Linked DNA regions of Cricetulus griseus. The protein of the gene in region 1 interacts with the protein of each later gene in a pairwise test. Links are inferred from orthologs where the notes say so. Each region holds a gene or a part of one and is shown on either strand. Other genes may lie near its edges.

What was found.
Region 2: the proteins of Enkd1 (region 1) and Ubxn11 interact in binary tests that used the Homo sapiens proteins (3 or more experiments, as listed by UniProt). The two-hybrid records come from large-scale screens. The link is inferred for Cricetulus griseus from reciprocal best matches to the Homo sapiens genes ENKD1 and UBXN11.
Region 3: the proteins of Enkd1 (region 1) and Pnma2 interact in binary tests that used the Homo sapiens proteins (3 or more experiments, as listed by UniProt). The two-hybrid records come from large-scale screens. The link is inferred for Cricetulus griseus from reciprocal best matches to the Homo sapiens genes ENKD1 and PNMA2.
Region 4: the proteins of Enkd1 (region 1) and Begain interact in binary tests that used the Homo sapiens proteins (3 or more experiments, as listed by UniProt). The two-hybrid records come from large-scale screens. The link is inferred for Cricetulus griseus from reciprocal best matches to the Homo sapiens genes ENKD1 and BEGAIN.
Region 5: the proteins of Enkd1 (region 1) and Cep70 interact in binary tests that used the Homo sapiens proteins (3 or more experiments, as listed by UniProt). The link is inferred for Cricetulus griseus from reciprocal best matches to the Homo sapiens genes ENKD1 and CEP70.
Region 6: the proteins of Enkd1 (region 1) and Pdlim7 interact in binary tests that used the Homo sapiens proteins (3 or more experiments, as listed by UniProt). The two-hybrid records come from large-scale screens. The link is inferred for Cricetulus griseus from reciprocal best matches to the Homo sapiens genes ENKD1 and PDLIM7.
Region 7: the proteins of Enkd1 (region 1) and Mipol1 interact in binary tests that used the Homo sapiens proteins (3 or more experiments, as listed by UniProt). The two-hybrid records come from large-scale screens. The link is inferred for Cricetulus griseus from reciprocal best matches to the Homo sapiens genes ENKD1 and MIPOL1.

The regions. Positions count from the first base shown.
Region 1 is NC_048596.1:181,988,650-181,992,807, forward strand, and holds the start of Enkd1 (enkurin domain-containing protein 1), read right to left. Parts: upstream 2,801-4,158; 5' UTR 2,737-2,800; intron 2,496-2,736; 5' UTR 2,481-2,495; coding exon 2,396-2,480; intron 2,316-2,395; coding exon 2,121-2,315; intron 1,505-2,120; coding exon 1,332-1,504; intron 1-1,331. Other genes in the region: CUNH16orf86 (uncharacterized protein C16orf86 homolog), read left to right, coding at 3,000-3,083, 3,301-3,536, 3,901-4,145. UniProt on the Homo sapiens protein: Microtubule-binding protein which regulates microtubule organization and stability. Promotes the stability of astral microtubules and facilitates the proper orientation of the mitotic spindle.
Region 2 is NC_048595.1:19,186,241-19,189,740, forward strand, and holds part of Ubxn11 (UBX domain-containing protein 11), read right to left. Parts: intron 1,319-3,500; coding exon of another isoform or gene 1,294-1,318; coding exon 1,190-1,293; intron 299-1,189; exon of another isoform or gene 293-298; coding exon of another isoform or gene 213-292; coding exon 184-212; intron 1-183. UniProt on the Homo sapiens protein: May be involved in the reorganization of actin cytoskeleton mediated by RND1, RND2 and RND3. Promotes RHOA activation mediated by GNA12 and GNA13.
Region 3 is NW_023276807.1:221,896,243-221,899,254, forward strand, and holds Pnma2 (paraneoplastic antigen Ma2), read left to right. Parts: upstream 1-1,417; coding exon 1,418-2,512; downstream 2,513-3,012.
Region 4 is NC_048598.1:185,739,198-185,743,213, forward strand, and holds the start of Begain (brain-enriched guanylate kinase-associated protein), read left to right. Parts: upstream 1-1,216; coding exon 1,217-1,467; intron 1,468-2,587; coding exon 2,588-2,654; intron 2,655-3,224; coding exon 3,225-3,332; intron 3,333-4,016. UniProt on the Homo sapiens protein: May sustain the structure of the postsynaptic density (PSD).
Region 5 is NC_048597.1:207,688,505-207,692,004, forward strand, and holds part of Cep70 (centrosomal protein of 70 kDa), read left to right. Parts: coding exon 1-15; intron 16-1,711; exon of another isoform or gene 1,712-2,282; intron 2,283-2,392; exon of another isoform or gene 2,393-2,415; intron 2,416-3,098; coding exon 3,099-3,189; intron 3,190-3,382; coding exon 3,383-3,500.
Region 6 is NC_048596.1:274,494,265-274,497,764, forward strand, and holds part of Pdlim7 (PDZ and LIM domain protein 7), read right to left. Parts: intron 1,612-3,500; coding exon 1,460-1,611; intron 1,380-1,459; coding exon 1,349-1,379; intron 908-1,348; coding exon 789-907; intron 448-788; coding exon of another isoform or gene 431-447; intron 188-430; coding exon 51-187; intron 1-50. UniProt on the Homo sapiens protein: May function as a scaffold on which the coordinated assembly of proteins can occur. May play a role as an adapter that, via its PDZ domain, localizes LIM-binding proteins to actin filaments of both skeletal muscle and nonmuscle tissues.
Region 7 is NC_048598.1:145,200,889-145,204,987, forward strand, and holds the start of Mipol1 (mirror-image polydactyly gene 1 protein), read right to left. Parts: upstream 2,801-4,099; 5' UTR 2,632-2,800; intron 1-2,631.

The DNA.
Region 1 (4,158 bases):
AAGAGCACTGGATGCTCTTCCAGGGGACTAGTATCCAGTATCACATGACAGTTCACAGTAGTCTAGAACAAAAGTTGCAGGAGATCTGATGCCACCTTCTGGCCCCTGTGACACATAGACTTGCAGGCAAAATACCCATACACATAAAAAAAAAAAATTAAACTAATTCATTTAATTTTATTTTATGTGCATTGGTGTGAGGGTGCCAGATCCCCTGGAACCCTCATAGATAGTTGTGAGCTGATATGATGGTGGGAATTGAACCCAAGTTTTCTGCAAGAGCAGCCAGCAATCTTAACCCCTGAGCCATCTCTCCAGCCCCATAATTTTTTTTTTTCAAAAATCAATTAACTAAGAGAAAAAGAGAGAAAGTGGTATGGTAATATACATCTTTTGTTTTGTTTTGTTTTGTTTGTTTTTTCAAGGCAGGGTTTCTCTGTGTAGCTTTGGAGCCTATCCCGGCACTTGCTCTGGAGACCAGGCTGGCCTCAAACTCACAGAGATTCGCCTGCCTCTGCCTCCCAAGTGCTGGGATTAAAGGCATGAGCCACCAACGCCCGGCTGGTACTATACATCTTTAATTTCAGTACTTGGTAGGTGGAAAAGGAGAGTTAGGAGTCAACTCTAGTCATGTACACAGAGTTTGAGGACAGCCTGGGCTAGACAGAGACAGAGAAACTGAGAATGAATTAGTAGGAAGGCTGGGCGCATAACTTAGTGAGTGGTACACTGTATGCCTAAGGTGCAAGAGACCCTGCATTCAATCTGCAACACTACAAATAAATGATGTTGACAAGTAGCTTAGGTACTTCTTTCAGATATGTGTCAAGATAGCTTTCAGCTCTAATTGTCTACATATTGAATTATAACTATTATCCCCATTGCCTTGACCCCAGGACTTCTTTCTACCTGTGAGGTTTCATCTCTATGGTCTCATCTCTTCCCCTAGCCTAATTTTTTTTTTTTTTTTTTTATTAGTTCAAATTAGGAACAAGCTTGCTTCAGATGTCAATCCCTTCTCCCTCTCCCTCTCCTCCCCCCAACATCCCACCTGCCCCTAGCCATCCCCCCTCCACTCCCCAGGCAGGGTAAGGCCTTCAAAAGGGGCTCCCCAAAGTCTACCACATCATCCTGGGCCAGGCCTAGGCCCTTCCCCATGTGTCCACCTAACCTAATTCTTACTTGTCCTGATGTCATCAGCAGCTCAGAGAAGGTCCACCCCAGATGTCTTAGCCTTTATGATCCCCCTACACATACCCTTTAAGTTAGATCAGGGTATAGTTGTCTGTTGGCCAATAGGGACAATATGTCTGGCTACGAGGAACAGATACCTTCATCCTGGCCTTGACTCGGGACTCGACATTGTCATACTTGGGTGAGCGCCACAGTGCCTTCAGGGGCTTAGGCTGGCCCTGCTCCCGGCTTCGTTCTTGATCTTGGAAGCGCCTCTGAATCTCTCTGATCCGCTTCAGGTTTTCCTTCTCATGGTCTTTTGGATCCTTCCCTGGGGAAAAACTGTTGCTAGGGACAACTCTACAAATGGCCATGGGACTTAGACCACACAGGCTCACACTGTATCCTTTGCAGAAATTTCTCCCAGACAATCTGGTAGATGCCTAGAATACAAGAGGCCCTGGGTTTCAATATCCAACATCACACACACAACATTTAAATACAACCAAGACCTCTTTATGTAAGCTAGACTCCATACACACAGCACTATTATCATCTTAATCTCTCCTTCCACAGTGTTCCTTCTGGTATCTTCTACATTTTGATAGTGATACCATTACCTTGTCCTGTCTTGTTTATTGCCTCCAACTGTTCCACTCATACTTTTAAAGTCTGTTTTCCCAACACCTATAGGGCTTGGCACAAAAGCAGGCTAAGTAAACAACGTTCCATCGAGGTGTGAATGCTTGAAGCTAGGATTACCTACATAAGAACGGAACTCTGATCCTGTTAGGAAGTAGTGCATTTCGGCCTCTTTTTGTGCTAGGGAAACTAAGACCCACAAAAGTACATTAATTACCTGGGCTCAAGGCAATTAAGAAGCATCCTGTTTTAATTTCTGCTTTTGACCGCCGAATGCCTCGATACCACTTCTGGCAAGGACTTACTCTTAGGAGATACCCCTGAACCAAGGGATATGCCCTCCAGTTGCAGCAGCACGTCTCCCACGCCTCGCTGGCCACGCTCTAGTATCTCTCGGGCTCCAGGCCTGATGCGGGGGCCACGAGAAGGGCTGAAGTCCATGTCGCGACCTGAAGTCAGCAGGTCCAGCTTCAGTGCGTTTCCTTCCAGGCGCCCTTGGGCTGAAGAGCAAGACGCGGTGGAAAGCCGTGCTCAGTGGCGGCGCGAGCTACTCGCCACGCCGTGGGACCCCGCAACTCACCCGAGGCCGGCCGCCGGTAGTAGTCCGGGCAGAGCGTAGGGTCTGGGGGAATGGGTCCAGAGATGCTGGATGGGCCTTCGCACATGATCCTATCGCAGCCCTGCAACCGTGCAACGAAGCCTGCTGCGCTGCGCAACTTCGGCCCCCAATCCCTGTTGGGTGCTTCCATCCGCCACCCGAGCCCTGCAGCCCCGCAGTAGCCCCCATTCCCGACCCCCACCCTCGTCTCTCGCCCAGTCCCTAGGCTCAGTCTGCGCCACCATCCTGCTACCGGGATCCTGGCCGACTGCCCTGAGGTGTTCGCGACCCCTCCCCCGCAACACCCCAGAGGGGGCTCTCACTGGAGCAGTTTTACCGCCAACTGTTGCAAGCTAGTAGGAGTTGCTGTTGCTTGGCAACAAATGACTTCCTGAGGTCAGGGGTCAATAACTTCGGCGAAAAGCCTTCTGGGGTTTGTAGTTCCAGGTTAGGAACTATTTTTAAGTCGCAGGTCTCACCTCCCAGCGGGTCTACCCTACCAAGACTGAGTACACCAGTCCAACCTCCTCTGAACCCGCCGTCTTCTCCTAGCAACCGTCAAGGGATGCACTGATTCCGCACAGCCATGGCCTCAGCAGGGGCCCAGAGGCAGCCAGATGCCCAGAATGGGGCGACAGTAGGATTAGCCCAGCTTGCAGAGATCACTGAGGTGACTCAGGCATTTTCGAAGCTAGGGAGGTAGAAGCGGTAGGGCAGGAGAGGGGGACTGTAGGTGACCCAACCCCCTAACTGCCTGGTCGAGTCCTGCAAGTAGAGGGGCCTGAGCTGGTAGCCTTCATGTCATATTTTGTGGCCAATACTGGACTTTGAATGACTGGTCCCTACAATACTTTGCCTGGCCATTGGCTACTCTGCGTATCTTCCAGTGTCCAGGACCAGGACCAGGAGAAAAGTGTCTGGTGCCCGCACATGAGACCTGCAGAACCCCAAGTGAAGACAAGTATTCAGTAGGACACAGCTTCGAGCCAGAGCTCCAGGAGGAAGGAATAAACCGGGGAGAGGAAGGGCTCAATCCAGGGGTGGAAGCAGGAGAGGAGAGAGGACCCAAGCCTACATCATCCATCGTGAGGCCCAGTCATGGACCCAAGAGAAAGCCTATCAAGTGAGGGGGTTTTCAGAGGGAAGGAGTTGCAGGGCTGAAGGGGGTGGGGATCTTACACCCCGAGCTTCCTAAATCCTGATTCCTTCTAGGCAGATATCTTTGTCTTCTGCAACTGCCCCAACTCCCAACTAGAAACTTCTGTTTCTCTAGAAAAGGAGTCTAAGAGGAAGAAAAAAAAAAAAAAAGATTTGGGGCTTTCAGGTCTTATAAGAGACAGTGTTACCATGAGTAGCAGGTCTCTATTGGGCTTGGAGCTTCATTGACCAGGAAAGGGCAGCTGACTAGTCCTGGGGTTGGTGGGCAGGCTGGGCTAGGCCCTAGGCTCAAGACACAGGAGCCAAAGACTGAAGTGCACCTCTTTCAGGCCTCTTGTTCCAGGCTTGGGCACCCCAGCCCTCCCAGGGCCAAGCTACCATGCCCATCCTAGGGCTGAAGCTGAGCTGCCACCAGGGCTGCTGCTGCAGAAGGAGGAGCCAGAGGGCAGTCACAGTGAGTCCTCACTGTCTGCTAAACAGCACAAAAAAGCCAAGAAACGCAAGAGTGTAGGGGCTCCTGTGCCCCCAGCTTTAGCTGGCACATCCACACCTACGGAGACGTTGGGGCTGGAGCGTGAGTGGCAATC
Region 2 (3,500 bases), on another chromosome or scaffold:
GCTGAGGAGCAGAGCAAGGAGTGGCCCAGACCTCTGAGCAAGGGTAGAAAGCTCAAAAGTACAACGAGCAGGCAAATGGCCAGTCTCACAAGACCTCAGCAAGCTCTTTCCCTTGCTGCCCAGGTGTAAGGAGATGTAGACTGGTGAGAAGGAAGGGGACACGGGGGCAGAGCACACACTCACCATCTCCGTAGATTCTTATCCCTCGCTTCCTGGGAACCCAGGCAGGAAGAAGGAACAAATACAAATTAAGCCTCCAGGAATGCCACCAAGGAAAGGTTCCAGGCCCCATGCAAGGCTAAAAGAGATAGAGGTTAAGCCTCTATCTCCTGAAGATTACCCCCTCCCCCAAGTTGTCCTTAGCCAGGGTGAGCCAAGGGACACACTGTATAGTGCCTAACTCCTCACAACAGAGAAAGATGGAGAGACACCATAGGGCAGTTTTGGTGGGAAGACCTCAAAATTCTACAGCTCGAAAGGCTGACCCTAGCTCCTCTCTGAAGTACAGTGGGCCCAGGCTTGCTGCTTAACCTCTCTGGATCTAAGCAAGACTCTAAGTGTATTTAGAAAAGCACCAAGGAAACAGGAGGCAGAAAAGGCTTTGTTCCAGGTGTGATGACGCACGCCTTTAATTCAAGCACCTTGGTGGTAGAGGCAGGAGGATCTCTGTGAGTTCAAAGATGGCTAGGGCTGCATACACAGAGAAACCCTGTCTTGAAAAATCAAAAAAATAAATAAAATAAAGGAAGGAAGGAAGGAAGGAAGGAAGGAAGGAAGGAAGGAAGGAAGGAAGGGAGGAAGGGAAGGAGGGAGGGAGGGAGAGAGGGAGGGAGGGAGGGAGGAAGGAAAGAAGGAAAGGAGGAAGGGAGAAAAGAAGGAAGGATAAAGCTTTTCAAGAGCCCAGCAAAGCCTGGCTCAGGCTGACAGAACATTGTTTGCAGAGTTGGTGAGTGAACAGTGAATGACAAGCCCTCTCATGGGCCATGTCTAACAGGAAGCACTGTCCAATCTTTGGTCAACACAAAGCAGAGTTTCCAAAAAGCACAAAGAGAAGCAAGGTAGACACAGAAAGCCACTAACTGCTCTCTGTACTCCCCTAGACACTAGCAGTCATTCTCCTCTCTGAGGGAAGGTTTAAGGAGGAGACAGGGCAGGGACACAAGGACCTAGAGGCTGGCTGGCTCCTTACCCAGGATTCACAGGCTCCGACTCTAGGGGCACCTTCCGTGTCTTGCTAAGAGAGGCCAGAGGTGAGCTCATAGCTCTAGTCTCCAGGCTAGCTGTCAGGAACTCCTGAGAGGAAAGAAGGAAGTCACCCCTTGGAGAAAGAGGAGACCCAGGGCTTCAGGTCAGGAGGAGGGAGCTGCAACTCTCCCTGAGGAGGAACACTGTCCAGGAGAAGCAGGCCTCACTCCTCCAGTGCAGGCCAGGGTTCCTCCTGATGTCTGCTGGCTCCTCTGAGCCACTGACTCTCTGTTCTGAACACAGAACCCCTTGCCTGGTGGGGTGCAGGGCCTGGATCTTCCCCAAGTTTAGAGTGTGTGCTCTTATGGACCCATAACTGAGCTGGCTGGCATTAAAGCCCAGGTATCTCCTCCCTGCCTGCCAGAGCCCAGGTGCCACCCCTATCATCTCAGAGGAAGAGGAGGCTACCCACAGGCAGGACTCATTGAAGACACAGTCATGTACCATGGAAGTCAGGCACCTACCTGGGCCCTTGCATACCCCCTGCTACCCACAGTGTTAACTGGCACCTCACTGCCTCCCATGTAAAATGTGCGTGGTATCAGCACCTACCAGGCAGGTGACTGGAGGGGGTGGGGCTCAAGTCCCAAAACATTGTGCCCAGTGCCAAGCTCAAAGGCAGGCACCTGTCAGCTGAATTGTGGCTATGTGATGTGGAGCCATTGTTATTGGCACAGGGGACGACAACATTGGAAAATGCTGACTCCCTTCTTCTGATGAAGAGTATGCTGTGCAAGCCAGTTCTAACTAAAAGCCACCACTCTGTTCCCTACATAAAGCGACTAAAACCTAGCAAGCCTAGAGCCAAAGGGATCTCTGTTAGGGAGGGTCTGAAATGAGTCTTCAGGCTAAGTCCAAAGCTGACCTCTGGAAATGTGACACTGACCTTCCCCAATATGCTGGGCAGTTTTTGTCAACATGACACGAGCTAACATCTATCTTCTGAAAAGAGGGAACCTCATTCCCTCGATGAGAAAATGCTCCCATCAGATCAGGCTGTAGGCAAGCCTGTGGACCTACTCTTGATTGATGTCTGAAGAGGGAGGGCCTAGCCCTCCTCTGACTGTGTACTCCCGGGCAGGGAGGTTGTGAGTTGGATAAAAGCAGGCTGAGGAAGCCATGGGGAGCGAGCCAATACGCAGCACTGCTCCATGGCCTCTATTTCAGCTCCTGCCTGACCTCTCTCCATGTTGGACTGTGACATGGAAGTATAGGCCAAATAAACTCCCTCCCCACGGTCCTTTTGGACATGGTTGTTACCACAGCAACAGAGAGCAAACAGGACAGACTGACACTCTCCAATAGGGGAACCCATGCTGCCTGGAGGCAGCCTCCCTCACCTTCTTTCTGAAGTCTGGGACTTATGCCCCACCAGTTCTCAAAAGGGGGCCCCTCCCATGGCCTGGAGCAGAGTTCCCTCAGCCACCATCCTACCTCCTCACCATACCTCTGCACTGCTCAGTGGAAGGACTGGGCTCCCTCCTTTTATTCATGCCCACAAGCAACAATGACATGCCACACCCCTGAACAAACTTTCACCCTTGAATGAAAAACTCAAAAATGGGCATGGTGGTGCATACCTTTAATCCCAGAACTTGGGGAGGCAGATCCCTGTGTGTTCCAGGCCAGCCAGGGCTACATAGTGAGATCCTATCTAAAAAAGAGGAAGAGGACGACAGCGAGGAGGAGGAAGAGGGTGAAGAGGAAAATAAAATTCCCACGGGTGATCTGGCCCTGTCTGCCTCCTCAAATTATCCCCACCTGAGCACCCTTGCACTGAAGGCAGCTGCGCAATGCCCGGAACACAGGGTGCCCTGTCATTAGCCCCCTCTCCGGGGAACCAAACTTAAACAGCTGAGCCATCTCTCCAGCTCTAACCTCCTCTTCTGGAATGGTCTCCTCCTCTGACCCATACCCTTCCTCTGGCCAAGCTAACCCCTCGATTTTCCTTCTATTTCTTCTTAGGCTATAACTTAGCTTTTTATTCAGAAATTATCAGAGATTCACAAGGAAACAGTTCTGAGGGGCCCCTGCACCCATCACCCAGCTGCCCTCTGTAGTCACTGTTTTAGGCAACCCCAGTAAAGCATGAGCAGCAGAACTGGCTGTTTCTGCAGTTTGTGTGCACAGTCCAGTGGCACCTGGTCACACGGACAGATTGGGTTTTACCACTGCCATCAAGATGCAGGCCTTTCCCATCCCCAAGGCTTTCCTCCTGCAGGCTGAGTCACACTATGCCTCCTCACTAGCCTGGA
Region 3 (3,012 bases), on another chromosome or scaffold:
CTTCACGGTGTGCTTGTTTTTCTGAGATTCAATTTTTCTTCATTATACCCATTAAAAATTATTTTGAAAGGTCTGAGTGATTCTACTTAGGTTTTTTTTATATATATCTTTTTCTTCTTTTGAGACGAGATTTCTTGGGGGTAGCCCAGATTGAGTTCAAACTTGGCACCCTCCTGCCTTATCTTCACAACAGTTGAGAGTGGCACCACACACAGTGCAGTTGTATTTGTTTTTAAGTATGATTCTCATGTAGCCCAGGCTGACCTCAAAGTCCCTATGAGGTCAAGAATGATCTTAAATTCCTGATCCTCCTGCCTCCACCTCCCAAGTGCTGGGAATACAGGCATGTACCACCATGCCCAGTTTATGTGGTGCTGGAAATTGAACTCCAGGCTTTGTTCACGTATGGTAGGCAAGCACTCTACAGACTGAGGAGTATACCCAGAACTAGGAGGTGTTTTTATTCAAAGTGCAGCAACTATCTTATTTAGGATGTTCTACTAAATTGTGCAGGACTGTCACTTTTTTCCCATCCTTTACTGAACCTTTATATTTTTAATAAGTGCATTCATCTTTATTACTAGATTTTAGGCCTAAAAACACATTGTTCATGTTTGTGTGTAACAGGACAGCTTGATTTGGATGAAGTTCAGACACACCCATACTATTGTACAGAGGTGGGAGACATCTTCCAGAGCTGGAAGCTGAATACATGCTCCTTGATTCTTGAGGAACATTCCGGAACACATAAACAGGTATTTAACTATGTCTCCTAATTTCATCTTTCGAATGGTGAAGGTCTTGAATCCCACCCACTGATGGGGCTTTGGGGTGGAGAGAAGGGGTTTAAGCTGCTCCCCTAGCCCTGAGTACAGTGAGCAAAGAAGGGGGTCCAACAGAGTGGGGTGGACAAAGGTGCAGTGGGAGTCATAGCCCTTGGTCCACCCCTAGCTCCATTCCAAACCACAGTGTGGGTGTGTCCTGGGAAGTAGAGGTCTGCGTAGTAAAAACAAACCTCTGTTTCCGTAGGCGTCCTCACCATCTCGCTGTGTGACGACTTTCCAGAGTTTTGGGTGCTAGAGTGAAAACCACCTCCTCATTGACTGTAGAGACAAAGTGACAGAAACCGGGAGAGGCTGGGTCGAGCAGTCATTCCAGGTGCTTCACAGTGACAAGAGTCAGCACCACACAGCTGCCTGAGGCTCTCAGAAACGGCAGCAAACCCACTGCAGAGCCACGGGGCTGGTAACTGCAGCCTACCCTGTCCACCCAGCAACCTTGCCGTGGGTCCGAAGACACACAGGAAGTGCCTGGTTCTTGACACTGAGTAAAAGGACAGAGCGTTGGTCCGCAAGGCTCTGAGCTACTTGGGAAGTGAGCCAGGCAGGCACTGTGTGCAGAAGCATACCCTAGGGCGATGGCAGTGGCACTGTTGGAGGAGTGGTGCAAGATAATGAGTGTGAGCGATCAGAAGTCACTGATGGTGACTGGCATACCAGCCGACTGTGGTGAGCCTGAGATCCAGGCAGTCCTTCAGGAGGCGCTCAAGTGTGTGGGCAACTACCGCCTGCTAGGCAAGATATTCCAGAAGCAAGACAACACGAATGCTGTCTTACTAGAACTCGTGGAGGACACAGATATGTCTGTGGTCCCCAGTGAGGTGCAGGGGAAAGGAGGTGTCTGGAAAGTGATCTTTAAGACCCCTAACCAGGACAGTGAGTTTCTCCAGAGATTGAACCTTTTTCTAGAAAAAGAAGGCCAGACCATTGCAGGGATGTTCCGAGCCCTGAAGCAGGAGGGAGTGTCTCCAGCTACCCCAACCTGCACATCCCCTGAGTTACTGGCCCACTTGGTGGGGCAGGCAATGGCTCAAGCTCCAAGGCCTCTGCAGCCTGTGAGGTACTGTAAGTTGCGAGTATTCTCTGGGAACACAGTACCTGCCCCGGAGGAGGAGTCCTTCGAGATCTGGTTGGAACAGGCTACTGAGATAGCCAAAGAGTGGCCCATCCCAGAGGCAGAAAAGAAAAAGTGGATGATGGAGAGCCTCCGCGGCCCTGCCCTGGACCTCATGCACATCGTACAGGGAGACAACCCATCCATCAGTGTGGAAGAGTGTCTGGAAGCCTTTAAGCAGGTGTTTGGGAGCCTGGAGAGCCGTAGGAGCTCGCAGGTAAGATACCTAAAGACCTATCAGCAAGAAGGGGAGAAAATCTCAGCCTACGTGCTCCGGCTGGAAACTCTGCTCCGAAGAGCCGTGGAAAAACGGGCTATTCCCCGAAACATTGCTGACCAGGTACGCCTGGAGCAGGTCATGGCCGGGGCCAACCTCACCAATGTTCTATGGTGCCGGTTACGGGAGCTGAAGGATCAGGGCCCACTACCCACCTTTTTGGAGCTGATGAAGGTGATACGGGAGGAAGAAGAAGAAGAGGCCTACTTTGAACATGAGAGCAGGGAGGAGCCAGGGGAACGAGAGGGCTATGGCCGCTGGGACAATTCGAGGAACAACTGAGAGACACCCCTACTCCTGTCACCCCCTGGTGAGCATAGGGACAGTGCTTGATGAGGCTAATCCTATTACAGTGGAATTTTTCTCTAATACACAGGATTGAAGTCAAGCATTAGAACCAGATATTTTCTTTTTTCTTTTGTTTTGACAGGGTTTCAACTTATAGCCCAGGCTGGCCTTGACTTGCACTTTTCCTGCCTCAGGACTCCCAAGTTGAGTTCTGGGATTAGAGGAGTATACCATCACTAGCACCCCATCTCAACTTTTCTTTCTGAGAAAAAAAAAAATGCCTAGACTCTGAGTAGAGTGGTTTGGTGGACTCTTAAGCAGAGTGTAACTGAATACAAGACTAAAGGAACCCTAACATTCCAAACTAACCAAAACGTAAGAGTTAATCCAGTTGGGTAGGTCCATCACCTGGCTAATGGACTGCCCACCAGGAAGGCAGATTCATCTAACTCCATGCTAAAGACAGGGGAGGAATAATTATCCCCTTAATGAGA
Region 4 (4,016 bases), on another chromosome or scaffold:
TATTGGCCAACTGTCCTGGAAGGTGGCTGTGATGGCTGAGAGGGGCAGGGACTGGAAGGGCTGGTGGACCAGTGAGCCAATGTCTAGAAGACCATTGGCTGGCCAGGGTAAACTGAGGCTCTGTGAAACAATGCTCCCTGGTGGGTCCCGGCGCTGCATGGAATGCACCCTGGAGCTCCTTTCCTGACCCTGTGGGTGCCCAAGGCAGGGTAGAGGAACAAGGGATGATGTAGAGGCTGGCTTGGGTTTGTCAGTGCGGGCAGGGTCTGAACTGAGTAGAGACAGGTGTCTGTAGGCATGTGGGGTAGGCTGCCTCATAGACCTAGAGGGTCGGGGCCGAGTGTCACAGCCTACCATGCTATAGGTCCAGCTTCCCAAGAGCTTGGCCTGGATACTGGCGAATGAGTTGTGCTGAGGGGGGCACCACAACAGATGGACCAGGCTCTCGTCTCTTCCCAAGGGCACAGCCTCTTCCTATGGCCTCCCAACCTCAAGGGTTGCTGCCCACTGTGACTCTGCTTTGGATGGAGTGGGTACTCCTGGAAGCTTGCCACCCCACAAGGGAGGAAGGGCCTGAGTAGCGGCTGCCTGGAGTGGGCTGATGCAGCTGGGCGGGCTGCCTGGAGGAGAGCAGCAAAGAGACAGCTGGCAGAGACAACAGAACACCTGGCAACTGGGCCTGTGTGGGCAGCAAGGCCTTGCCTTTGGGTTTCCCTTGCTACTTTAGAATCTCTTTTGGGGACTGACTCTCAGGAGGACCCGCCCCCTTTCCTCAGGCCTGGGCAGGAATCCAGGAATGCCTAATGGGGGTGGCTGGGAGTGTGCCTGTGACATGTGTGGCTTACTCACAGGGTTGGGGACACTTCTGATGATGCCTGCCGGCCCTCCACACCCCTCACTGGGTTTTGAGTCGGGGTGGGGGTGGGGTGCCTAGTCCCATAGTGCATCTGGGCAGACTTGGGGCTCCCAGCACCTCCCACCCCCTTCCCCCAGGCACCTGAACTTCCTTCCCTTTTGCCCCCTACCTACTGCAAGTCTACTGCAAGTTACAGTCTCAGGTGTTGGGGCTAAGATGGGATGGAGTGTGAGCACCCAGGGGACAACACAGAGTCCTGACCCCTAGAAGGACACGAGTGCTGGCAAAGCCGCCACAGAGAGCACCGGGTTATGCCTCAGTGCACATATTCAAGTAATAGTGGGGTCGAGAGCACAGTACATGCCCACAGCATGCCTGGCTGGCCAGTGTGGCCTCAGTTTCCCCTTGCTCAGTGGCACAGCCTGGCCAAGCTGCCTGTTGCTTTGCAGTGCCCTGCAGGAGCAGAAGGGCGAGCTGCGCAAGCGGCTGTCCTACACCACCCACAGGCTGGAGAAGCTGGAGACAGAGTTTGACTCCACCCGTCACTTCCTGGAGATTGAGCTGCGCCGAGCTCAGGAGGAACTGGACAAGGTCACTGAGAAACTGCGCAGGTGAGGATGGTGAGGATCTAGCTGCATACAGCTAGGTCACCGCAGTGCTAGCTGCGGGGATGATTGGCAAACGTGGAGCAGAGCAGCCTACCCAGGGCTTGAACCTGCGACCCACTGATGCCATTGTCAGGCTCTTCCAGTGCCCTCTTCCAGACCTGGCTTCTCACGCCCTCATACATGCAATACTCTGACATTGGATGAGCCAACAGCAGCATAGGTGGGGCTGCTTCCAGACCCCTCCCCACTGGCCACAAAAGCTCCCAAGACGAATGTGGATATAAAAGTGGCATCTTGAGTGACTTGGGGACTCAGGATGCATTGAGAGATTCCTACACCGTTTTCCTTCTGGCATTGGCTTTTCTAAACCCTATTGTGGGTATCCCCAGCTTAGAAACACAAAGAGGATTCAGGCTGCTGTTGGCTGAGTTTGTTTTAAATACTTAGAGGAGCGGCTGGCATTGTCCCGAGGGCAGTGTGTCCCTCTTCGAATGGTCCCATTCTTCTGGGCTTTTGAATACACTCCACACTGTGTGGGAGCCAGGCTTGGTTAAAATCCCAGCTCTGCTCTGCCACTAAACTGCATTAAGCGTCTTTTTGTGTCCCTTTCCTATTGGCAAGGCAGCAATAATACTGCAAAGGTTGTCTAGAGGACACACAGCCACCATGCCTGGTCCCCCAGCCACCAGCAAGAGAAGGCCAAAGCATATTGCTCCGTCTCTACCTGCTTTTCCAGGTGGAGCCACATGCCCTCTTGGTCACTGGCACTCATCTCGGGGCCACATATACACGTGTGTCCTTCTGTAAGCCACCTGCCAGCTTCTAAGAACTGCATACAGCTCTTACAGGCTCTTATGCACACAAGCCTCCCTGTGCTCTCTCCAAAGAGCCCTACTGTGGGTGGGCAGAACAATGGGACTTTGACCATGGCCTAGGAGAAGCCCTGACAGAAGTCAGCTCTGATCAGATCCTGAGTGCAGACATTGGATCAGGTAGGGCTGGTGGCACAAGCTTAGGAGCCCGACAGCCATGCTAAGCAGGGCATGGCGGCCGTGAGGTTGCTGGGCTTGCTTGTAGGAAGGTCAGGCCTTTCGAGTCTTGACACTGTTGCTTCCTGCTGCAGGATTCAGAGCAACTACATGACGCTGCAGCGTGTCAACCAAGAGCTGGAGGATAAGCTGTACCGGATGGTGAGGCCCCAGTGCACGCTACCTGCCCCCTCTCTGAGTGGCCCCTTGAGGCTTGTTCTCACAAGTGGGAGGTGCTCTCAGGATGAGAACGAGGTGGGGTCCAGGGAAGCCATGCCTGTGCAGGCAGCACGGAGAATGGCCGTGGGGCTCTGGCACCTCCTCTCTTTAGGATGAGGCTCCTGCTTGATCTTGTTTGGTGACAGGTGTTCAAGGCCTGCCTGTCTTCAGTCTGAGGACAAAGGGGGCAGGATAGGTAGGGGCTGGGCCATGCTAACCATCACTTCTCCACTCATTGAGACAGGTGGGCAGGGCAAGCCATACTTCTCACCACATAAGAAGGACATCGGGAGCAGGTAACTGAGGCTCAGTGGAAGGACTGGCCTAGGCTAATCCAGTTTATCATTATCGAGATGGGATTAAACCGGGATCAGTCTGTGGTCTTAACTCCTACACCATTAGCCTTTTGAGCACCTTGTCATCAACAGCTGTTGGGCTCACAAAAGCCTTGACCCAGCAGCTGGGCTGTGGCACTAACCACTAGCTATCCCTTCCACTGCCCCTACTGCCCAGGGCCAGCACTATGAAGAAGAGAAGCGGGCGATGAACCACGAGATTGTGGCCCTCAACAGCCACCTGCTGGAGGCCAAGGTGACCATTGATAAGCTGTCGGAGGACAACGTGAGTGCCATATTCGTTTGGCCCCTGGAGGGATGTCGCAGGTTTTTTTTGGGGGGGGGGTTCCCAAGGGAAGCCTTGGCAGGCAGGGCCTTTCTGATTCAGAGGACTCCAGCTTGGCCCCAGACAAGGGGAGGGACAGGGCAGTGAGGACTTGGAGAAGTGCCCCGGACAACTGAGAGAGGGCAGAATCCCTGATGGCAGGGCTGCAGGTGGGATACAGGAGGCCACCTATCCCACCCACACAAGACTTTCGACTTCAGCCAGCTCCAGTGTCACCCCACAACTGTGTGATAATCCAAAGGAGCCCCGTGAGATGGCCAGCCGCTTCCCACTGTTCCCTGTGGGCTGACTGTGGACACACTAATTAGCCTGTGCTCCTTGCCATGAGATCGTACGAGGTTCTGAGATTATGGTCTGACAAGCACAGACCAAGGAAAAAAACATGGCTGCCCTTGGGGATTTTAAGTCCACATGGGGAAAGTAGACAGTAAATTGGGCAGTCAGCAGTCTGAGTAGCCTGTTAGAAGTGCTAAGTGACGAACTAAGTGTGGCAGTGGCAGTTTCAGTTAGTTCCACTAGAGCGTGTCACTTAGGATTTGAAGACTAAGCACTCAGTGGCCAGGTGGCCTGAGCCCTTCCCAGAGTAGGGCAGAGAGGTCCCAAGCGCAGGAGGCTCAAGCAAGG
Region 5 (3,500 bases), on another chromosome or scaffold:
CTGATTGAAAAACAGGTAAGCTTAAAATATTTTGTCACTGTTTCTCAAAGTATATGACAAAAGAATGACAAGTATACAAATAGAAAACTCTGACATATTTTCTTTTTGCATTTTCTTTTGCATTTATTTATTTTTGTATGTGGTGTGCATGAGGTCAAAGGAAACCTTGCAGGAATTAAGATTTTCTTCTTCCACCATGAGAGTCTCAGGACCAAACTTGGATTGTCAGGCTTGGTGACAAGCATTTTTACTTACTGAACTTTTTTCTGGCCTGAAATTCTGACTTTAAAAAGATTGTTTGTTGGGATTGTGAGATGACTCAGTGGCTAAGAGGGTATACTGCTGGAGCTGACAGTGATGGTGCACACCTTTAATCCCAGCACTCACGAGGCAGAGGCAGGCGGATCTCTGAGTTTGAGGCCAGCCTGGTCTATAGAACTCGTTCCAGGATAGCCTGGGCTGTTATGTAGAGAAACCCTGTCTCAAAAAAAGAGTATATACTGCTCTTGTAGACCTGAGTTCTAGTCCCAGCACCCACATCATACAGCTCCCAACTACTTGTAAGTTCAGTTCCAGGTAGTTACACTCACCTGAAAATACTATCCGTCACTCTGCCTGACCCCCAAACTCATACACAAGTACATGTAATTAAAAATGAATCTCCTGGGGCTGGAGAGATGACTCAGCAGTTAAGAGCACTCGATGTTCTTCCAGAGGTCCTGAGTTCAATTCCCAGCAACCATATGGTGGCTCACAGCCATCCATACTGAAATCTGGTGCCCTCTTCTGGCCTGCAGGTATATATGCAGACAGAATAAATAAAAATGAATCTTTTAAAAAATGGATAAATTACTTAAGGATTCTGGGTTAAAGACTGTCAAGTATCTTTATTTCTTTAGCTTCCCCAATTTTATCAGTCTCCAGAAGATTTGACATATGGTTCCTTCAGGAGCCAGAGGCATCGAATCCCCTCTGGAGCTAGAGTAACAATCCTAGTGCCCATATTGTCCCTCGATGCTGCATACACAGCTCCCTATGGTGCCCAGTTTGGTGGCTGAGGGTGTGGAGGCAGAGACGGCTGCTGGGTCTTTCTGTCTTGCTTTTCAGGGTTGAGGTGATGGTGATTGGGGCAGGTTCTGGCAGCTGTGGCTCCTCTGGGAGTATGATGATAAGGAGACTGGAGGCCTCGGTGTGGCTGCTCAGGGGTTAACAGCTGTTATTGATAGCAATGGTTGGTCAGTTGACAGAGGACATATATCAAACACCACAGGGCTTGAGGGCATTGAGTGACTGCATGCTGTGTTCACAAATGCCTTCTTTACTTGCTCTGGGACTTTGAGGATGACACCTTCAAATCAAGCACAGGGACTTCCAGAGGTGGTCCAGGCTTGTCTGAATTCATAGTAAGCAAGATGATTTCCAGGAACTATCCATGAAGTTTGTCACTATCATAGTCTAGTGAGGTACAGAACATTAAGGCACAGGTTGTGGGAGAAGATAGGACAGCATCATGGTGGCTCCTTCCAGTTGTGCTTGTTAAGTGGGCAAGGGCTGGGGGGCAGGGCTCAGCTGAGCCCCTTCTGTCAATTCAGAGGATTACTCTGAGATTAAATTGTAGTGAAGACAAAATGGACTAAAAAGTCAATGTTATTCCATGTTGGTGGAAATAGGAGGAAGGAATGAGTCCCCTGAAGCAGGAAGGGGGGGACAGCTAGGCACAGTTCTGTGACTGTGACCCAGCTGGCCACTCATGCTCCATTTTTACTTTCAGTGACCCCAGGAAGGTCTGATTCTTTGTTTTCTTCCCTTTGGGATTTGCTTGCAGATTTCACCAGCTGTCTACTGACCATCTCTACTTTTCTTCCGCCTCTGCTTTGTGCACGTCTTTGGCATCTCTTCTTTCATGTCCAGTTTAGCAAATGGCTTCATGGTTTGTTTGTATAATGGTTGTTTGAACAGTTCAGGGTCATCCTCTACTTTCCTTCCTTACCCCTGCCTCTTAACAATTTGTTCTTTTCTGCCTGAATCACATCCAGGGCCTCTTCTGTTCCCGTGGCAGTAGCCTACTTGTAAGTTTTGTCCACAGCTTCAAAAGCCTTTTGTGCACCACCAGTAGCATCTTGATTTTTGTCAGGATGTACTAGTGTTATATAGCGGCTGAAACCTCTCTTTTATTTCTTTTTCTGTCACTTCAGGAATAGCTGGAAAATCTCAAATGAGTTCACATTAAAGAGGAACCTGGACAGGTCAATCTTTCAGTCTGATTTTTGGATGTGGAGCTTCTATTTGTTTAGCCTCCCTGAAGAAGATCATAAAGGCCTCCTCTCTGCCACCTGCCCAGGACCCTGGCCCTTTGGAAGCTGCTATTTCCCAAGTCCAGCCCTCACATGACCCTTGATTTTCTTTTTTCATCATTGTTAAAGAGATACTTATTTCAGAGTGGCTAGTTTTAGTTTTCAGTTGTGTCATTTGAGTATGGCCTGACCTTATTCAATTAGACTTACCTGTTTCACTGAAATCACAAGTTTTGTTTTAATTTGCCCATTAAGGGGCCTACATGTGGTTATTTTGTGTAATATAACAATTTACTCATTTGCATACTTCTGTTGCTGATTTTAGTAAAGACTAAACCTTTGTAAATTATAATTTGATACATAAAATTTCATATTAAAACTAGGCATGCCAAACATCTTTCATTTCAGCACTTGGGAAGCAGAGGCAATTACACCTTTTAAGTTCAAGGCTGGTCTGGTTTACATTGATAGTTCCAGTCCAGCCAGGGCTACATAGTGAGACCCTGTCTAAAAATTGTAAGACCATTTAAGCACTTGCTGGTCTTCACGGGACCCTAGTTCAGTTCACAGCATCCATGTCATGTGGCTCACAACTGCCTCAAACCCCAGGGGCTGACACCTTTTTCTGGTTTCTGCTGCACTGGAACTTCACGAGTTCATACCCTCATATAGATGAACAAATACATACATCTAAAAATCAGACACCTTTGGAGGAAAGGTTCTGTTCTGAAAACATAGGATGCTATATAAAAGGTTTTTCTTCACATCTTTAAGTTGTTCCTTTTTTCTCTACTGTGATTGTAGCAGGAGGAAGCAGAATGGGAAAGCGTAAATGGGCTGTTGATGACGCATGGCTTCAAACCTTTGTGTCTAGTCAAAAGAACTGACCTCAAAGGTAACTAGATGCTGTTCTTGTTCTGTTAGGAACAAAGCTTTTTCTTTCTTTAAAAAGTGTTTATCTTAAAATGACTTTACCTTCTCTTTGTTTTTTCATGGCATATATATGTGTGTGTATGTATATGTATTATGTATTATATATACATATATATGTATATATATATTATATATATGTATGTATATCAATGTAGAGCTCATCGTTTTTGACAAACAATCATCACAAAGAATGAGGCAGACTTTGAAAATGTTGATAGAAGAAACAACACGTCAGCAGAGCATGATCCGGGACCTCATAGAGACCAACCAGCA
Region 6 (3,500 bases), about 93 Mb from region 1:
GGCCTAGGCTAAGGCCAAGAGAGTCCGCCCTGACCTGGGCCAGCACTTACTGAACTCTGTGCCCGTGAGGTGGGCAAGGATGCGGAAGGAGCGGGACTGGCCTGTCCCTGGCCGTGGCCGCCAGTCTTCGGTATCCTCCATCAGCCGCTGCTTGCTGGCATCGGGGACCAGCTGTCTGAACAACTGTCTGTGGGAAGGGTGTGGCTCAGAACCCCTGGTTCTGGTGAACACCAGGGGCAGCCCCCCCCACCAGGATCTGATGTGACAGGCGAGAGAGGGGAAGGGTGGGGGGTGAGGCAAAGGGCCCTGCTGGGCAGGAGGGTAGGTAGGTAAATGAGAGACGGGAGGAGAGTAGCCAGGGTAGGGAGGGGCTACCACCCAAAGTGCCCAAAGGAAGGGAAAAAGTGACAGGAAGAGGGGGCTCACTGACTTGTCAGGGGTCTGCACCTGTGAAGGAAATAAGACAGATAGACAAATAAAGTGACAGACGCGGGAGAGAAAGATGGGGAATTAGAGAAGTGCAGAGGGAGGCAAGGTGGCAGTAACTCAGCTGGCCCAGTCACACCCCAACCCCAGGCTGCCCAGAGTGGCAGAGCCTGTGCAAGAGCGACAGCCTTAGGTGGGGCTCTACACCCTCAGGCCTACCCGGCCGCCAGGGATTGCTGCCACACGGTTAAGGGGCTGGGGTACAGCACAGACTGAGCAGTAGCGGGCAGCTTGTGTGTGCTTGTGGAAGGACTGGACGGTGTGGACAATAGACAGGAGTGAGTGGGCGAGGGCTGACATACCCATTCTGTTGCGGGGTGCTGTCAGTAGGTGGGGGTGCCCCAAAGGGCCGGGCCGTCTTGTTGAGGGAGGCGCTTGGTGCAAAAGTATACCTCGGGGGATCGGCGGGAGGGGTCAGGGCCTGGGCAGAGACAGAGCCAGGCAGGGTGGGTGGGAGTGGGGGCTGAGGTGGGAGCGGAGTCACCACCACCAAGGACAGTGACAGGTCCAGCTCCACGTACACATCTGGGCAGAGGCTAAGGGTGAGGGGAAACTATGATTTCAAGGGGCCCATTTGGAAGTAGTGAACTCAACCCACTCTGGGCCAAGGGAGACCAAGGATGGGCAGGCACACACAGCACAGGCTCGTGGGAGGAAGCGGGCGGGCAGACAGACAGGCAGGCACGTGTGGCGCCCAGACCGTGCGGCAGCTCCCAGCCCCTCTCAGTTCCTCAGACACTGCCCCTTCTGGCATCTGCCCTCTGCTCTTAGGGGTAACAAGGCTGGGCCTGGGGAGGGCAGGTCAACCCTGAAGTCTAAGCCCCCTCCCTTTCTCAGCCTAGTTATCTCCTGTACAACCTACCTTCTGTGGTTTGCTCTGAACAGGCTGGGCTCTGGAGAAGAAGAGAAAGCAGTGATGGCAGTGGGCCAGACCAGAGACTGCCTTCACCCCTTCATCCTGTTGGCCCCATACCTGCTAAGCCCCAGGCTGAGGCGCTCCCCACAGGCGCGGATCTTGTTCTGGGCCTCAATGTGTGTGAGGCTCCCTGCGTTCTCACCATCGATGCTCAGCACCCAGTCTCCTACAGCCACGCCAGCCTGTGCAGCTTTGCCTCCAGGGGTGAGCTGTGGAGAGGAGTGGTCAGAAGCCCATGGGCCCACACCCAAGCTGTGTCATCTACCTTTCCACTGCTTGGTTGTCTATTCTTCTCTATGACCCTCCCTCACAGTGCACCTCAGGCTAGCGTCCACAGCCTTTGAGGGCTCTGCCAGTCTGCTCTGGAGGCTACTTCACCACCAGATTGCCCTCCTGTGTTAAGACTGGGCTACAAAGGCCTAATAGGGTCGATCAGCGTTACTTCTGTCAGGGTCCTGACAAGTGTCCCATCTATCTGAGCAACTGAGCGACTGCCCTGCCCCCTTCCCCATTCACTGAATGCCTTCATAAATGTACTCTTGCTCCCATGGCCACATACTTTTTTTTTGGGTGGGGGGTGACCAAAGCTCACCACTTACCAGAAATCAGCCAGTGTTGGTGAGCACTACCCCACTAGGCCTACTACATACCCTCATTTGCCACACAGACCAGAAATTCCCAATTCAAAGCCAAAAGGATTGGAGACACATCGGTCACCCACAGCTCTGAAATCACAGGTCCACTCAACCATCTGGCAAAGGGCCTGGCACCACAGAGCAGGCTTAATTTACACTTCACGGGTAGCAGGAAAAGTGGGGTACAGGCTGCCAAAGGTGGCAGCAGGATCCTCAGGTGAGCGGTGCAGTGGGAAGGCCAGGAGGTTCTGAGAATGTTAGGGACAGTCCTGATGCAGAGACTGCAAACACTAGGACAGAATGGAGCTGGACTTGACAGCTCTATTTTGTGCCTGAAGGGGAGGTTAGCAGAGAAGAGAGCACCTAAGTCAGAGCCCTTTCTTTACCTGCTAACAGATGCTAAGAATAGCAACTCAGAGAACACCTAGTATTGACACCGCATCTCCCAATGTGCTTGCAGAGAGTCTGGGGATCCACCCTGCTCATACTCAGAAAAAACAGTATTGCCAACATGTGAACTCAAGTCATCCAGTCTGCACTAGGTGCAGCCAGGATGTGGCCCTCCACAGCAGCGCACCTATGCTACACAGGCACAAGTGAGGGGTCGATAAATACTCTCACACACAAGCAGGAACTCCCCATAAAGACTCTGGGGAGCTGGGTGGTGGCGGCACACGGCAACTTTAATCCCAGCACTCTGGAAGCCGAGGCCAGCCTGGTCTACATAGTGAATTCCAGAACAGCCAGGACTACACAGAGAAAGGCCGGGCGCTGGTGGCATACACCTTTAGTCCCAGCACTTGGGAGGCAGAGGCAGGCGGATCTCAGTGAGTTCGAGGCCAGCCTTGTCTACAGAACGAGTGCCAGGATAGGCTCCAAAGCCACAGAGAAACCCTGTCTCTAAAATAAAAAAAGACTACACAGAGAGATCCTGTCTCAAAATAATTTTTTTTGTCTTCTGGTTTTTTGAGACAGGGTTCCCCGTGAACCAGTCCTGGCTGTCCTGGAACTCACTCTCTAGATCAGGCTGGCCTCAAACTCACAGAGATCCACCTGCCTCTGCCTCCTGAGCACTGGGATTAAAGGCATGCGCCACCACCAACTAATTAAAATTTTATGAAATTAAAAACAAAAAGACTCTGGGTGCCAGGCCTGGTACTGTACACCTGCAACGCCAACACTCAGGCACGCTGAGCAGGGGGACTGACCGTTCAATGCAGACCCTGTCTGAAAAAGACCCCTTCATGCCTTGACTAAGTCTGGGGTCTTCATGCTCCTTTCACCTTCATCCCACTCCAATCTGTCCCTTACAAGGGGGACAGGGAAGTGACACCCTAGAGGGGAAGTGACTTAACTCATGGTCATGGTGAGTCAGTCAGGAGATGGAAACCTGGTTTAGCCACTCCTTCCTCTACAGGCAGCCTGCTTCCTGAGAGGTGTGGGGTGAGACCCAGGGGTGTGTG
Region 7 (4,099 bases), on another chromosome or scaffold:
GGGTTGCTCTAATTAACTACCAAAAAACAGTTCTATGGCAAATTTGTCCCATTAGTCACCCATTTGAGTGAAGCAACAAATGAGCCACCCCTTTAAAGTAGTAATTTATGTTGCCAGATTAGAGCTAAAAAAACAAAACAATAACAAAAACCATAACCCAAGAAAAAAATGGGGTATATAGCTATGATTAAATTTAGTATCTCAGGACATAAAATTAATTATTCCCAAACATATTAAAGTAAACGAGTTAAGTGAAGCGGCCCATAGCTGTAGTCTCAGCTACTTGGTAGGCTAAGGCAGGAAGATGGTTTGAAGCCAAGAGTTCAGGGCCAGCAAGAGCAACAACAACAAAACACTCCAGGCATGTAGTGCACATCTGTAACACCAGCATACAACTCTCCAGAGTCAGAAACATCAGACTCAAAACCTAAGGACATCCTCAACTACTTAGCTAGTTTGAGGCCTGCCTAGAAGACAGGAGGCCCTGTTTAAATTTTTTTTTTTAAAGAGAGAGAGAGAGAACTAAAATGTAGTCCTGTTCTTTAAATGCTCACAAAGAGCCATTTCTTTCACTAATTTTTTTCTGAATTTAGTAAGTAGTGCATTTGTTACTTATTGTTGGCTAACAAACAAATATCCCATTAGAATTTATTTTAAAAGTGTGTATATAAACTCAATGTATTGTGTCAGAAGGCATGGCCTATCTTAAATCTGTGTTTGCTTAACAATCAAAGAAGTTTTCATTATCACACTGCTTGACTATCCCTAAATGTTGCCTCAACATACTTCTAATATGTATTAAATTCACCACCTAAAAACATAAGGTGTCCGCTGTATATGCTAACTGAGATAATAGACAGGGAAAAGCTGTACTGGTACTGAGCAGTCATTTTTTAATTCAGCAGGGGTTGGCAAACTACAGCCCACAGCACAAATCCAGTCCAAGTACTCAGCCAAAATAATTAACCAGGGGGCCATTAGGCTGTAATGGTTTCAGTCCCTTGGATTCCTATGTAAGTAAACTCAAATCCAATGATTACTATTAGAAAGAGGGCACCAGTGGGTTTTTCTGGGATGTAAATACTATTATGCTGTTTTAAAAAAAAAATGTAACCTTCTATTTTATGTATGTTGGTATTTTGACTACATGTATGTCTTGGCACGGCAAGCATACACAGTGCATACAAGCATGCTAAGAGGGCAGAAGGCATCAGATTTCTTGGGACTACAGTTATAGATGCTTGGTGCACCATGTAGATGCTGGGAATCAAGCCAGGGCCTGCGCTCTTAACCCGATGATCGATTTCCTCTGTCCCTTATCATGTTCTTTTTTTGATCTTGGTACTAGATAAAAGAGTATACAGCATGAAAATACAATGAGTTTTACACATGACTTAAACATTTTAAAGTTATCACACAAAGATTTTATTTCATACTCTGTCTTTGAAGAAAAAAATGTGTCTATCTCCTATTCATATTTTTTTGCCATCCTTACTTTTATCTAATGAAACAATTCATATTATCTTACTTTTAAAAAGCAAGCCTAATTTTACTGGCATACTAACATAGGATGTAATATAGTTTTGTTTCTGAAAGTGGGTGGGGGGCTTTCCACCACCCAAGGAACCTCCCAAAGGAACTCAAGACTGGAACCTGGAAGCAGGAACTGAAGCACAGACCAGGGAGTAATCCTGCTTACTGGCTTGCTCTCCATGGTTTGCATTGCTTCCTTTCTTATACAACTGAGGACCATCTGCCCAAAGGCCATACCACCCAAAGTGATCTGGGCCCTCCCAAACCAATCAATAATCAAATTAATCAAGAAAATGTCCACAGACATGCCTATAGAACAATCTGATGGAGGCAATTTCTGGCAAATACGCACAGGATGCCAGCCTATGGAATGATTACTATGCAACTGTTGTTTTGGGTGAGATCCTTTGCAGACAGAACACACTTTGCAAAGCGAGTTACTTGTGAAACTCGTAGGTTAAAGCAATCCTTCCCTAGCTCTGTCCAGGACCATTGGGAACTGACTCACATAAAAATGCTCGAAGGAGTCCACCCAAAGACCTGTTCTTATAGAAAAGGTGTTTTCTTTTTTTATCACCCTCGTCTATCCTGCGATATTTGAAGTTTACCCAGGTCCTTCCATAGAGCTTCAAATACTTCACCAATACCATTGGGTGGTATCATCCTCCAGTTAGAAAAGCCGGCTCTTGAAACCAGAGTTTGCTTCCATTCGCATCCTACTACAGCCGGCTCCGCGCGTGTTGAGCAACACTGGAGTTTTGCTCGCACTTTCAAGGGTGAGAACTATAAATCGCTTCAGTCCTCCAGCGGGGACTGAAACCCGAACTCTTGCCAAGATTTAGCAGGGATAAAAACCCACACTTTTGAATCCATGTTCAGCCTCTTAACTTTTAAGGCTGTGCTGAAACCCGAGGAGAAGGAGCACTGTGTCACCTGAGAACACCGCGACGCGGGCCCTCGAGGGTGGCCCGCACGCTCCGGGCCAACCCCGCGCAGCCCTCCTGCCTCTCCGGGGACCGCGGCCGGAAGTCCCGAGCCGGCTACAGCCCACCCTGAGCTTCCCTCCCCTCCCCCAACCCTCCGGGTCCACGCCGGTACCTGAGGAGCCGCGGGACCCCTCGGCGCCCACTCCGCTCACGCAGTTTCTCCGGCCTGGGGCGCTGCCACCGAGGGAGCCAATCGCCGCGCGCCCGCTACGCGCGCGCCCCTGAGTGACCGAAGGGGGCGGGGCGGGGCGGACAAGGCCGGGCGCGCCGCCGGGCCCACGGGGACGAGGCTGCGGCTGCGGCCGCGGCGCGCACCGGGCATGCGCGAGCCCGCTGGCGATCTTGGGGCGGGGCTTCCGGCGAGCTGGGGCCGCGGGGAGTGCTGAGGGGAGCTGGGGAATAGTGTGGCCCCAGGTCGTTCCATGGGAGTAGAGGACTACGGTCCAGACGAACTCTTGTGCGGCGAGAGGAGGGGAAACGTGGGGTGCGCGGGCGATCTTCACTGGGCAGAAACTGCGGTTCCCTTCAGTGGATGTGGTTTGCGGGACGCGAGGAAGGGTGCTGCGACGGGAGCCCGAGGGAGACCTCCAAGCGGGCCAAAGAACGCCTCAGACAAGCTTTAAAGCTCTTGGCAGTTTCTGTTTTCACTTCAGGACTACAGAGAGTGTATGCTAGACTATGTGCATGCTCAAAATGCTCAATCTCGGAATTTAAAAGAAAAACCTGAACGCAGAGGATATGGTTTATTGTGGACTCTAGGGGTAACGTGGAATTTTATCTGAACTGATATAACTGGTAATGAACCAAGTATTTCCCGAGAGAGAGAGAGAGAGAGAGAGAGAGAGAGAGAGAGAGAGAGAGAGAGAGAGAGAGAGAGAGAGAGAGAGAGAGAGAAACACCTGCCTCCCACCTTAGCCAAGTTACCTAGTTACTGGAACTACAGGCCACTTAACACTGGCACTTTAGTATTGAGCTTTAAAGTCACTTTAATTTACATTACTTAGTACTCTGAGTATTTACTATGTGCCAAGTACTCTTTTGTACTCTTGGATGCTGGAATAATAATATTAGCACTAATGTTATCAATAATAGTAATTTCTGCGCACGCACACACACACACCCACACCCACACCCACACACACACACACACAGAGAGAGAGAGAGAGAGAGAGAGAATAAAGTCATGATGACCACCAAAGTCATGATGGACAAAGATAGTGAAAGGAACTTACTAGTAAGTGCCAAAAGGGTGTGAAGTTTGGAAAATGGATGAGAGAACTTAGTTAAATTATTTGGAGTAAATAGAGTATAATATTAAAAAACAGTTTCATTTTTTATGTAACCAATGACTAGTTCTCTGAAGTGGCTTGTGACATTCGACCTTAAAGTGAATTTTTAATTTTATTTATTTATTGCTTTACATTACTCAGAGTTGAATCAGATTTTAATGGACATAAAGTATAATTAAAAATATGGTTATGGTGGTGCACCTCTGTAATCCTAAACCTTTGAAGAATGATCATAAATTTGAGGACAGCCTGGGATACATAGCAAATACACAGTTCCCACCACCACCACCC